Regions from separate parts of the Mus musculus genome. Here region 2 is reported to be linked to region 1. The links are microRNA targets in miRTarBase. Many come from high-throughput screens and were not tested one by one. Region 1 holds a microRNA gene; the other region holds the end of a gene's coding sequence.

The links. The annotated mature microRNA mmu-miR-219a-5p reads UGAUUGUCCAAACGCAAUUCU and lies in region 1 at 2,772-2,792, opposite strand. An mRNA with a match to its seed (bases 2 to 7 or 8) in the 3' UTR can be bound and repressed. Matches are read on the target gene's strand: a 7mer-m8 pairs with bases 2 to 8, a 7mer-A1 pairs with bases 2 to 7 and ends in A, and an 8mer does both.
Region 2: miRTarBase lists Camk2g as a target of mmu-miR-219a-5p. Seed matches in the 3' UTR shown: 7mer-m8 at 1,761-1,767.

The regions. Positions count from the first base shown.
Region 1 is chr2:29,842,918-29,847,297 of GRCm38, forward strand. Mir219a-2 (microRNA 219a-2) reads right to left here and starts at 2,810; the gene lies at 2,714-2,810. It overlaps Urm1 (ubiquitin related modifier 1), which reads left to right. Exons shown (of 5, transcript NM_026615.4): 5 at 186-2,079. The coding sequence ends at 254. Mir219b (microRNA 219b) reads left to right here and starts at 2,730; the gene lies at 2,730-2,794. It also overlaps a transcript of Cercam not described here.
Region 2 is chr14:20,733,872-20,738,251 of GRCm38, forward strand. It overlaps Camk2g (calcium/calmodulin-dependent protein kinase II gamma), which reads right to left. Exons shown (of 21, transcript NM_001360186.1): 20 at 3,388-3,632; 21 at 1,002-2,981. The coding sequence ends at 3,400. Ndst2 (N-deacetylase/N-sulfotransferase (heparan glucosaminyl) 2) reads right to left here and starts at 691. Exons shown (of 15, transcript NM_010811.2): 1 at 344-691.

The DNA.
Region 1 (4,380 bases):
GAGGAGGGAGGGAAGGTGGGAGCTCACCCCTCCTGGAGATTCGAAAGTTGATGTGTAGACTCTCCATTTTTCTGGCGAGGGTTTTCTTTTTTTCCTAGAATACCCACCTTTCTCCTCTGTGTCCTAATACCTGGCAATGACCTGGACCATGTTCTGATGGCCCCTGCCCCTTTTTCCTGACCCAGGGGGAGCTGGACTACCAGCTGCAGGACCAAGACAGCATCCTCTTCATCTCCACACTGCACGGCGGCTGAGGCCTCCCCAGTGGGCCCAAGCACCTTTGCAGGGGAACACAGGACAACCACAGCACTCCTCGATCTGCTTCCAGGTCCTCAGTCCCCCTTGGCTGCCTCCTTCCCTGCTGTACCCCTGAGCTTCCTCTAGGCAGGGAAAAGAGGCCAGGTGCTAAAAATGAGCCTTTCTGGGCAAGGCACGTGAGCAGGGAGAGCGAAGAGAGAGAGCAGCCGCCTGAGTCCAGCACTCCTCCCAGCAGCTGAGGTGGGGGAGGGTGTTCCTGTGCTGTGTCAGGAGTAGAGGGGGCTCTGTGCCCAGGTGACCCAGCTGCTTGCCACTCATGTGTCTTGGTGTATCTAAGCACTGAGTGGTTGCCTGGAAGGCACTCCAGTTCCTGAGACATCTTCATGGGGAAGATAGATGGGCTGGAGTAACTGATGAGAAACTCCTCCCTTGCCAAAGATTAGAAGGGCCTCCGCCTCAGTTTCCCCATCTGGACACAGAGAGCTCTGCTTGTCCCCCACTGATGTCATTATGGAACCCCAGCTGGGGTCCCCTATTCAGTGCTCCCCTCCCTCCTCCACCCAGCAGCTGCTCTCCCCCCCACCCCCTTCTCCATCCTTTGACCCTGGCTGGCCTCCCCCCCACATAGGCCACCAGATGGGCTCCTGAGATACTCTCCAGGCTGCCTACAACTCATTCTGTTGCGGGTAGAGAATGGAAGGGAGCAGCCTAACCGTAGGCAGAGGGGGCGGGGCCTCAGCATGTGTAACTCCAGGCTTCCTGAAACAAGTGGGATTTGGGTGTGCAGCACCTAGTGGGCAGAAGGCTGTGTGTGTCCCTTTCCTCTATCTTCTGGAGACTTCATGCCTGCAGCAGCTGGCCTCGGGCAAATAAAAAGACTAAGTGACTAGGTTGTTTACTAGCCTTGCTTCACCCTTAAAACTGGTGGGCCCTGTACTCTCTGGGTCTGTGGGTTCTAATACAAATGCCCTGTTCTGAGCCAAGGGTTCAGAGATGGCCTTCACCTGAAAGGTAAAAACATGAACTGTTCCAAAGAGAGGGTGGATGAGTAGGACGGTGTGGATGGGAAGGGAGTGTAAGCCCGTGATGACCAGCCCACATTCTAAGCCAGGATTTCTCACCAACCAGTCCAAGCTAGGCTTTGTTCTGCCAACTGCAGTCACCAGTCCCAGAAGGGGTGGCCTAAGTAAGCCTGCTGAGTCTCATTACTTCCACAACCTGCAGAAAAAGCTTTATCTGACCCAAAATGTTGCTTTTCACTACATGGCAATGAGGTGGACTCCTTTACCTTGCATAGATGAGAGTGTTTGATACTGTGGGCCAGTGATGGGGGTGGAGAAGAGCAGACTCTCAAGGAGAGCATTCTCTGACGTCTGCTTGGTGAGCTGTTCCCAGCCACTGCCCCACAACAGACCCTTGGGCTTGTGTGCATAGTAGCAGCCAGTGTTGGGTCCAAGTGCAGCTGAGGGTGTGCTGAGGTCAAGCCTCATCATAGTTTTCTCACTGTGACATTTTTAGAGGGTCAGCCTGTCCTGGTTCCAAGGCTTCAGCTACCAGACATAAGCACTAGGATGCCTTCTAGCTGATGGGTGGGAGGGTGTGGGTAGGGACCTCTTGCTTTTATGGCACCCCAGTTAATGCTGAGCATTTAGGAGGATGGGCTGAGGAAACCAGCTTTCCCCATGTGGTGCCACTGCCCATTCACTCTGGTCCTCTAACAGAAAGGGGTCAGAGACAGGTGACTCACTAAGCTCCAACAGCCCCCTCCCATGCACCTCGTGGCCCTTGTTTTTGAGGAAATAAACAAGTCCCACTACCTCCGAAGCATTTTTGTTGTTGTTGTTGTTTTTAATGAAAAGGATTGATTTGTCCAAGTTCGTATTTCCAAAGCCGTAGCGATTGCCCGGCTGGAGCGCATCATTCCCCAGCTTCTGGGTTTCTGGCAGCCGCGGGAGGAAGCACAGCCCATCAGTCGGTCCAGAGGAGCTTGTGGGAGGGGTTGGTTGGCTGGTTTGGGATATGCGGGTTGATTTCGGGTTTGTTTGTTTTTTGTTGTTTCGGGGGACTGGTCAGGGGACAGGTTGAAACAAATTCAAAACAAGTTAGCAAAAGAATTTTGCTGTCGTATCCCTTCAAACCCCCCCCCCCCAACTGCGGTTCTGACCAAGGACCGGCCGCACGAACCACATTCGGGTCCCGGTCCCGCTGCTGTATGCCAGCTTCGTTCTGGCCGAAATTTGAAAGTGGGGGAAACCCAGCGTAATCGACCGGAGGACTCTGCCAGCCGACACGGGTCACCCGCAGAGGATACGGAAAGAGGCGAGGATGAGGATGGCGGCGCCGGTGGCAAGGACTTTTGTCCCCTCTTTGCATGCCAGTCTGGGGCCACAATGATCGTTCTGGGACCTGCCGGCTGCTCAGGGGTTCTCCCAGCGTGGACCTCGTCTCTGTAGAGCCCGGAGCTCAACCACAGATGTCCAGCCACAATTCTCGGTTGGCCGCAGACTCGTACAAGAATTGCGTTTGGACAATCAGTGGCGAAGCCCCTGAGTTCAGGGCCCCGGTCCCCCTCTGGGTTCTGCCTGGCTCCTTAAAAGCGCACACCAGATCTCGGGAGCTGCGTATCGGAATACCTCGCAGAAGCTCGGCAATCGCAGCCCGTCCCGCGGTAAGGTGGACAAGCCGGTGTCCAGATCCCGGCCCTGCTAGGGCATCCCCATCGCCCCCCAGCGTGTTTCCTTCCATCGCGGCCAAGGGTCCCTAGAGTAACCCGCGTTGTGTCTCTGGGCTGCCCCAGCTTGGAGGAATACCCTGTCAGGCCCAGGGAACCCCATTTCCCTCTCCCCGCCCCCAGGCTGGGTTCTGGGAATCCGGAATACTGGGGCCCGAGGCCGGTAGCATCTCTTGAGCCCCGGGTCTGGGATGCTGGACTCGCGGGGCCCCCTCCCCAGCCTGGCCCCGCGCACGCACCGGCTCAGGCGCTCTCTGCTTCCTTGTGGCTGAGTCGCGGGTGGTGGTAGCCTGGGCAGCGGGGAGCGCCGGAATGTGCCGCCGGGTCACCTGCAGCGCCCAGGGAGCCGGACTGGGAGCCGGCGTGCTGGCGAGGCGCAGGGCTGAACCCAAGCGGGCGCCTCTGGCGGCTTGGGGCCGGGGCGGGCTTTTAGTGGGCCGCTCCAACAATACGGGCCTGGCGCGGAGAAAGGGGCTCGGCTGCAATTGGTACTGGATTTGAATAACGCCACGGGGCCATCAATGGTCATTGTGTCGACGGGTAATGAATCTCCGCTGTCTCTCTCGGGCTGGCCAGGCAGCTGCAACCTGCGCTCAGGCAGCTCTTAAAGACATAGCATGCCCCTCCCTGGGGGCCGCTCCCCCCACTCTGCACCGGCAGGACCCTGTGCCCTCCCACCCCACTCAGCACCCTCCATTACGGATGCCCCGCCTGCTCCCTCAGCTTGACCCCTTTGCCGGTAGCCCCCCCCCCCCAGGGCCAGGCACCCACATCTCGGTCCTGGACTCTGGACCTGAATGAGGCCACTCTAAGCTTGGCTGAGTTCCCCAAGAGTAACCAGGAGAATCCAGGATCTTTTAGGACCCAAGCTTCCTTCCAGTTACATCTTTATCTCTTGAGTTCTCACTCCTTAAAGCTCCTTTCCAGGGGTTTCTCCGTGGTGTGAGGGGGTAACAGTCTAGAAGTCAGAGGGTCACCCCCCTTAGAACACTTATCCGAAGAATAAGGGGGGATCATATAGTCCCAACCAACAGGCTGAAGATGCAGTCTCCAGAGACCACACCTCCAGAGGGATCTGGAGACTACCCCTCCCCTCCCCAAAGACAAGGGCTTGATTCCCAGGCTCCTATCCCTTAGCTGCAGCACCGATGGACGAGGGAAGCAGGTGTGTGTGAAAGGGTAGGCAATCTGTTAATGCTTGTCTCCTGTGTCTTCCTTTGGATGGTCCACCCATCCAGAGGCTCAGGAGCTCTGTGGAAGGTCTGATATGTACCCTGAACAGGTCTGATAGAGAAGAGATCTGGTCTGCTGTTTGCATTCATCCAGATCCCAGCCCCAGAGATCAGTCTGGGGGTTGTCACCCCAGTGAGTGTCACTTTCCAGAGGGGAGT
Region 2 (4,380 bases), not on the chromosome of region 1:
GAAGGACCTGACCTTGAGGATAGAAGGACCCTCCTGCGGGAACTACGGGAAATGGGGAGCCCACAGGTGGGGGAGCTGGAGGGAAAGGGGCAGGGGTGCGGCCGAGAGTTGGCATCCAGACAGGCACTGGGTTTAAGAACCCCGTGTGCCCTGGGCGGAGTGGCCAGAATAAGGCAACTGAGGGGAGGCCAGCGGCTGGGACTCGGGGCAGGGTGCACAGGGCCAGATGGGTGGTCGCCCAGGACGACCCTGCGGGTGGTTTCGGTGGCGACACTCGCAGGAAGTCTGATCGCGAAAACCGAGGGCGACCGTGGACGGGAGACTGCTCTCAAAGATGGCTCACCCGGTGGAGTGGGCGGCGTCCCCGCTGTCCCCGGGCCCTGCCGCGTCCCGGGGCTGCCCGGCTTCCCTGCTCGCGGGGCCTCGGGCCGCGTCGCGGCGGCTCCGCCATCTCCGAGCGAACGCTCCGCCGCAGTCGGGCTCAAGTACCGCTCCCACCAGGGGGAGGCGGCGCGCTGCGGCTCGTGGTGCCCGCTCAGGTCCGCGCGCTCCCCGAGCGTGGCCGCTGCGTGACCGGGACCTGGGATAAGCCGACGGCCCTCCGCAGTGCTCAGCCCAGCCGCAGCCTCCCAGCCCTCCGGCCTCGCGCTCAGCCCACCAGGGTGGACCCCGTCCTCCACGCCGGGTGGCACAGTCTGCGGAGCGTCGGGGCGGGCCCAGGGCCCAGGCCTGTCCACTCAGACCCGCGGAGGAGGGAGCCCGCGTACCAAGGGCGGGGCCACCTCCGCCTGGGGCGGGGCGAAGACTCGGCCCACCGCCTAAGAGGCTACTTCCTCCCTGCCACCCCCCAATACAGCAGCCCAGGCTGAGTTTATGAGAAGTTTTCTTCCTTGCTCCCCAAGGGAATGGGCAAAAAGATGTTCGTCTCCTAGTGAAGCCTTGTCACGCAGGCTGCTAAAATCTAAGCCCACGGCTACGAGCCTCCAACAGCAATAACACAATGGACTGTTTAAAGGTTATTTTATTAAATATCTTCAAGGTTTCATTGTAACAAAGCTATGAAGGGACTACCAACATTCAGAACAAACACTATTTTAAATTATTTCTATGTCATCATGCAAAAGTTCTGCATCAAATGCCTTCCATTTCCTGTTTAAAAGGTGGTTTGTTTTTTAAATAGTCTATTAATAGTCTATAGATGCTGACATTAGCCCCAGAAGTGGAGTAAGAACGCTAAGAAGTGGGGCTGGAGCAGCCACATGAAGCTATGGGTCTCAAAGAGCTCTAAGACCATTTGTTGTCTTCAAGCCAGCAAAACCAAACCCTGTGATGAAGGTATCTGTTGGCTGGCACTGCAGGCTGCAGGGCAGGAAGGGTCTAGGGTCCAGGGTCTGAGGCATGCACAAGTGCTTGAGGAGCCTGGCTAAATTCAAGCACCAGCACCCATGCGTTTGTTCTCTTCTCAGCTGGCTCCATACTCTGTAGTTCTCTTTTCCCAGCTCCTGTGCCTCCTGAAGGTCACCCAAGGAGCTGAAATCTACCCCCCCCCCCAATGCAGATAATGTGCAGTTGTTTGGTGGGAGGGAACCAAGACTATGACCAATTGCCTCTTCCATTATCTTCTCTGTTATCTGCCTAAGGTACAGACCTTTTCTTCCTGGAATGGACCTCCTTGAGCACAGAGAGGGACAATGAATGCAGGAGCCTTGGCTCTGGACCCCTTTGTGGGTACATGCAGGCGAGGGGGTGATGCCCATGCAGATTGTCCAGCAGAAAAGTCTATACTTCGGTTGGTCAATAAAGAGCCTCTTTAAAGAGGACACTTCTCACCCAAGCAGTCAGTTCGATCTCAAACCCAGGGAAAGAGTTGGGCGTGCAGCATGGGAAGAAGGGAGGCAGCCCAGAGGGCAGCCAGAATGCATAGAAACAACCACCAACTCTTACCCACTGCCTCACTCCTCCCATCCCACAGGGGCACTTGGCAGAGGGCCCAGGCCTAGATGAGGGTCAGCATGGGGACCACCACCATGAAAATACAAGACAAAGATGGTCCAGATCAGCACACAAACAACTGCCAAAAGTGGCAAAAGGAGCCCTGGCCAACGACTTCTGGATCTCTCCTTGTTATGTCAGGAAAACCAACAGGAAACAAAGTAGCAATCCCTCCCCCTTTCCACCAGCAGAAATCGGGCCTCAGTCTCAGGCCCACGTGCATTGTGCATCCTCTAGAAATGGATGAGTTAAGTGCATGTCAGACGAACTCGAGGTTTCTCATTGGCGGACACACTTCTGCAGCACCAATTCTCTTCCTGTCTACGCTAACTGGACCGGTACAGCAAAGTCCAGGCTTTCAGTCCTGAGGCCACGCCTCACAGCTGCCTCCACACACAGCAGGCTGGCAGTGCTGCATTCTCTCCAATGTAGGTCCAGCGGCCACGGTGTTTGCGTCTTTCTCATACTAGGTGTCAATGCATGGTCTGACGAAGTCCACTCCTAGAACTGGGGTGATCAGGCCACCTCTGGGGCTGCAACCACACCATGGCTTTGTCCATGACCAAAGCTCTGTCAAGAGTCCTTGCCTGGTCCCCCTGAATCCATGGGGGCCTGAGGCCAAGCTCACCTCTTCAATACTGGTGGGTGAGCCCACTGTTCATGCCTGGATGAGCATCACACAAACTCCTGTCTCCTTGCAAGCCAAGGGCTATCAGTTGTTTTAAAACGCATCATGGTATGAATTCCGTTTTTTTAAACAATCTTATTTTCTTTTTTTTTTTTTCTTAAATGTAAAAAACACCTCGGTACAGCAGAGACAGACACGAAGGGCGGGCGGGAGGGCTGCATGCAGGGGCGTGCATTGGCTGCTGCCGCTTTGTAATTGAATTGTTTTAAACCTCAAACGAACAGGACCGCCGCTGTCACTCAGGCCCTCCAGAGTCACTGGCTGCGAAGGTTCAACCTCCAGCTGGAGTCTCCTAATGCCCCTGTCAAACAGAAGAGGAGGTGGGACAGACAGAAGAGGACGGTGAGAACACAGGTAATTCACAGCACACACTTGGCTGTGTCCTTGAGAGGACTGGTACAGGAGAGGCTAACGTTTAAACACAGCACTCTCACATTTGAGGGCCTACTCAGTGCTTTAATATGGTATCTTAATCCTTACCATCCATCCTTTGATAAGTAAAGAAACTAAGGCTCAGCAGGGGAAGAACGCTTGCACCAAATCTGGAGTCTGTCTGATTACAGAGCATAGCTTATCAAAACTACATTGCCCAGTCTGTCCCACCCCTCTGGGAGGGCCCGTACTTCTTCCTAGAGAGCCACCTCCTACCCTTCAGCTATTCAAGCCATCTCTCCCCTTCCCAGTCCCTTCTCCCCAACAAGGAGCACCTGTGGCTGAGCTCACTGTAGCGGTGCGGCAGGGGCCCCTGAGCAGTGATAGTGGACATTGAGCCACTTGCCATCCCGGCGGTGCCACACCCGGGTCTCCTCTGACTGACTGGTGCGAGGCCGACCCTGCCCGTCGATGTACTGAGTGAGCCGGATATAGGCGATGCAAGCTGCGTCCTCCCCAATCACGTGGACGTGAGGGTTTAGGATGGTGGTGTGGATAGGCTTGCTGTTCTTGGACAGGACTGCAGGGGGCAGGGCAAGGAAGGGGAGGTATCAGGCATTAGGCTTGGACACTCACCTTTCTGCCAGGCTGCACCTTCTTGACTCTAGCTCCAGCAGCCATTTCTAGAATCCCCAAGTACCCCAACATCGCCCCACAGAGGCCACGATCCTCCATTGCATTAGTTTCATCCAAAAGGAAGAGAATGTGGGTAACAAGTCTAGCAACCACACTTCATCAGGTATTATGCGGAGGTTTTACATGCAAGAGAAATGTAATTTTTTACTGATATTTTCTTCACTATATGAAGGGAAAAAAAGACTCAAATCAAATAAGATATTTAAACTAAGGACCATGTGGCTCTAATAAAACCTGTGGTTTTTCTACTTGGTTAGGCTGGTGTTTCAAAGTTCTAAACTTATTTTGCCCCTAGCTAAGGCTAGAAGAGAAAAATCATAAGAGCCATACATTCAAAATCAATTTGTGACTTAAAAAGAAAAGGCACATCAAAGTTTGAAATCTCCAAAGCGCCCAGCTCAGGATCCCCCCAAGTTCCCAGGGTTCTCTGGAGCTGGACTGGCACTTCAGCATATGTCTGATTCCCTTTAGTTCATTCCAGTACTACAGCGGCTGCAAGAGACCTCCCCTAGAACGAAGATAAACACTGCTCTGACTACTAGCGTTACTTAGATAGCTAAGGGATTACGAAGGCAGCTACAGTGTGGGACAATCACATGCACAGAGTCAGTGGGGGAAAACAGCCACAACAT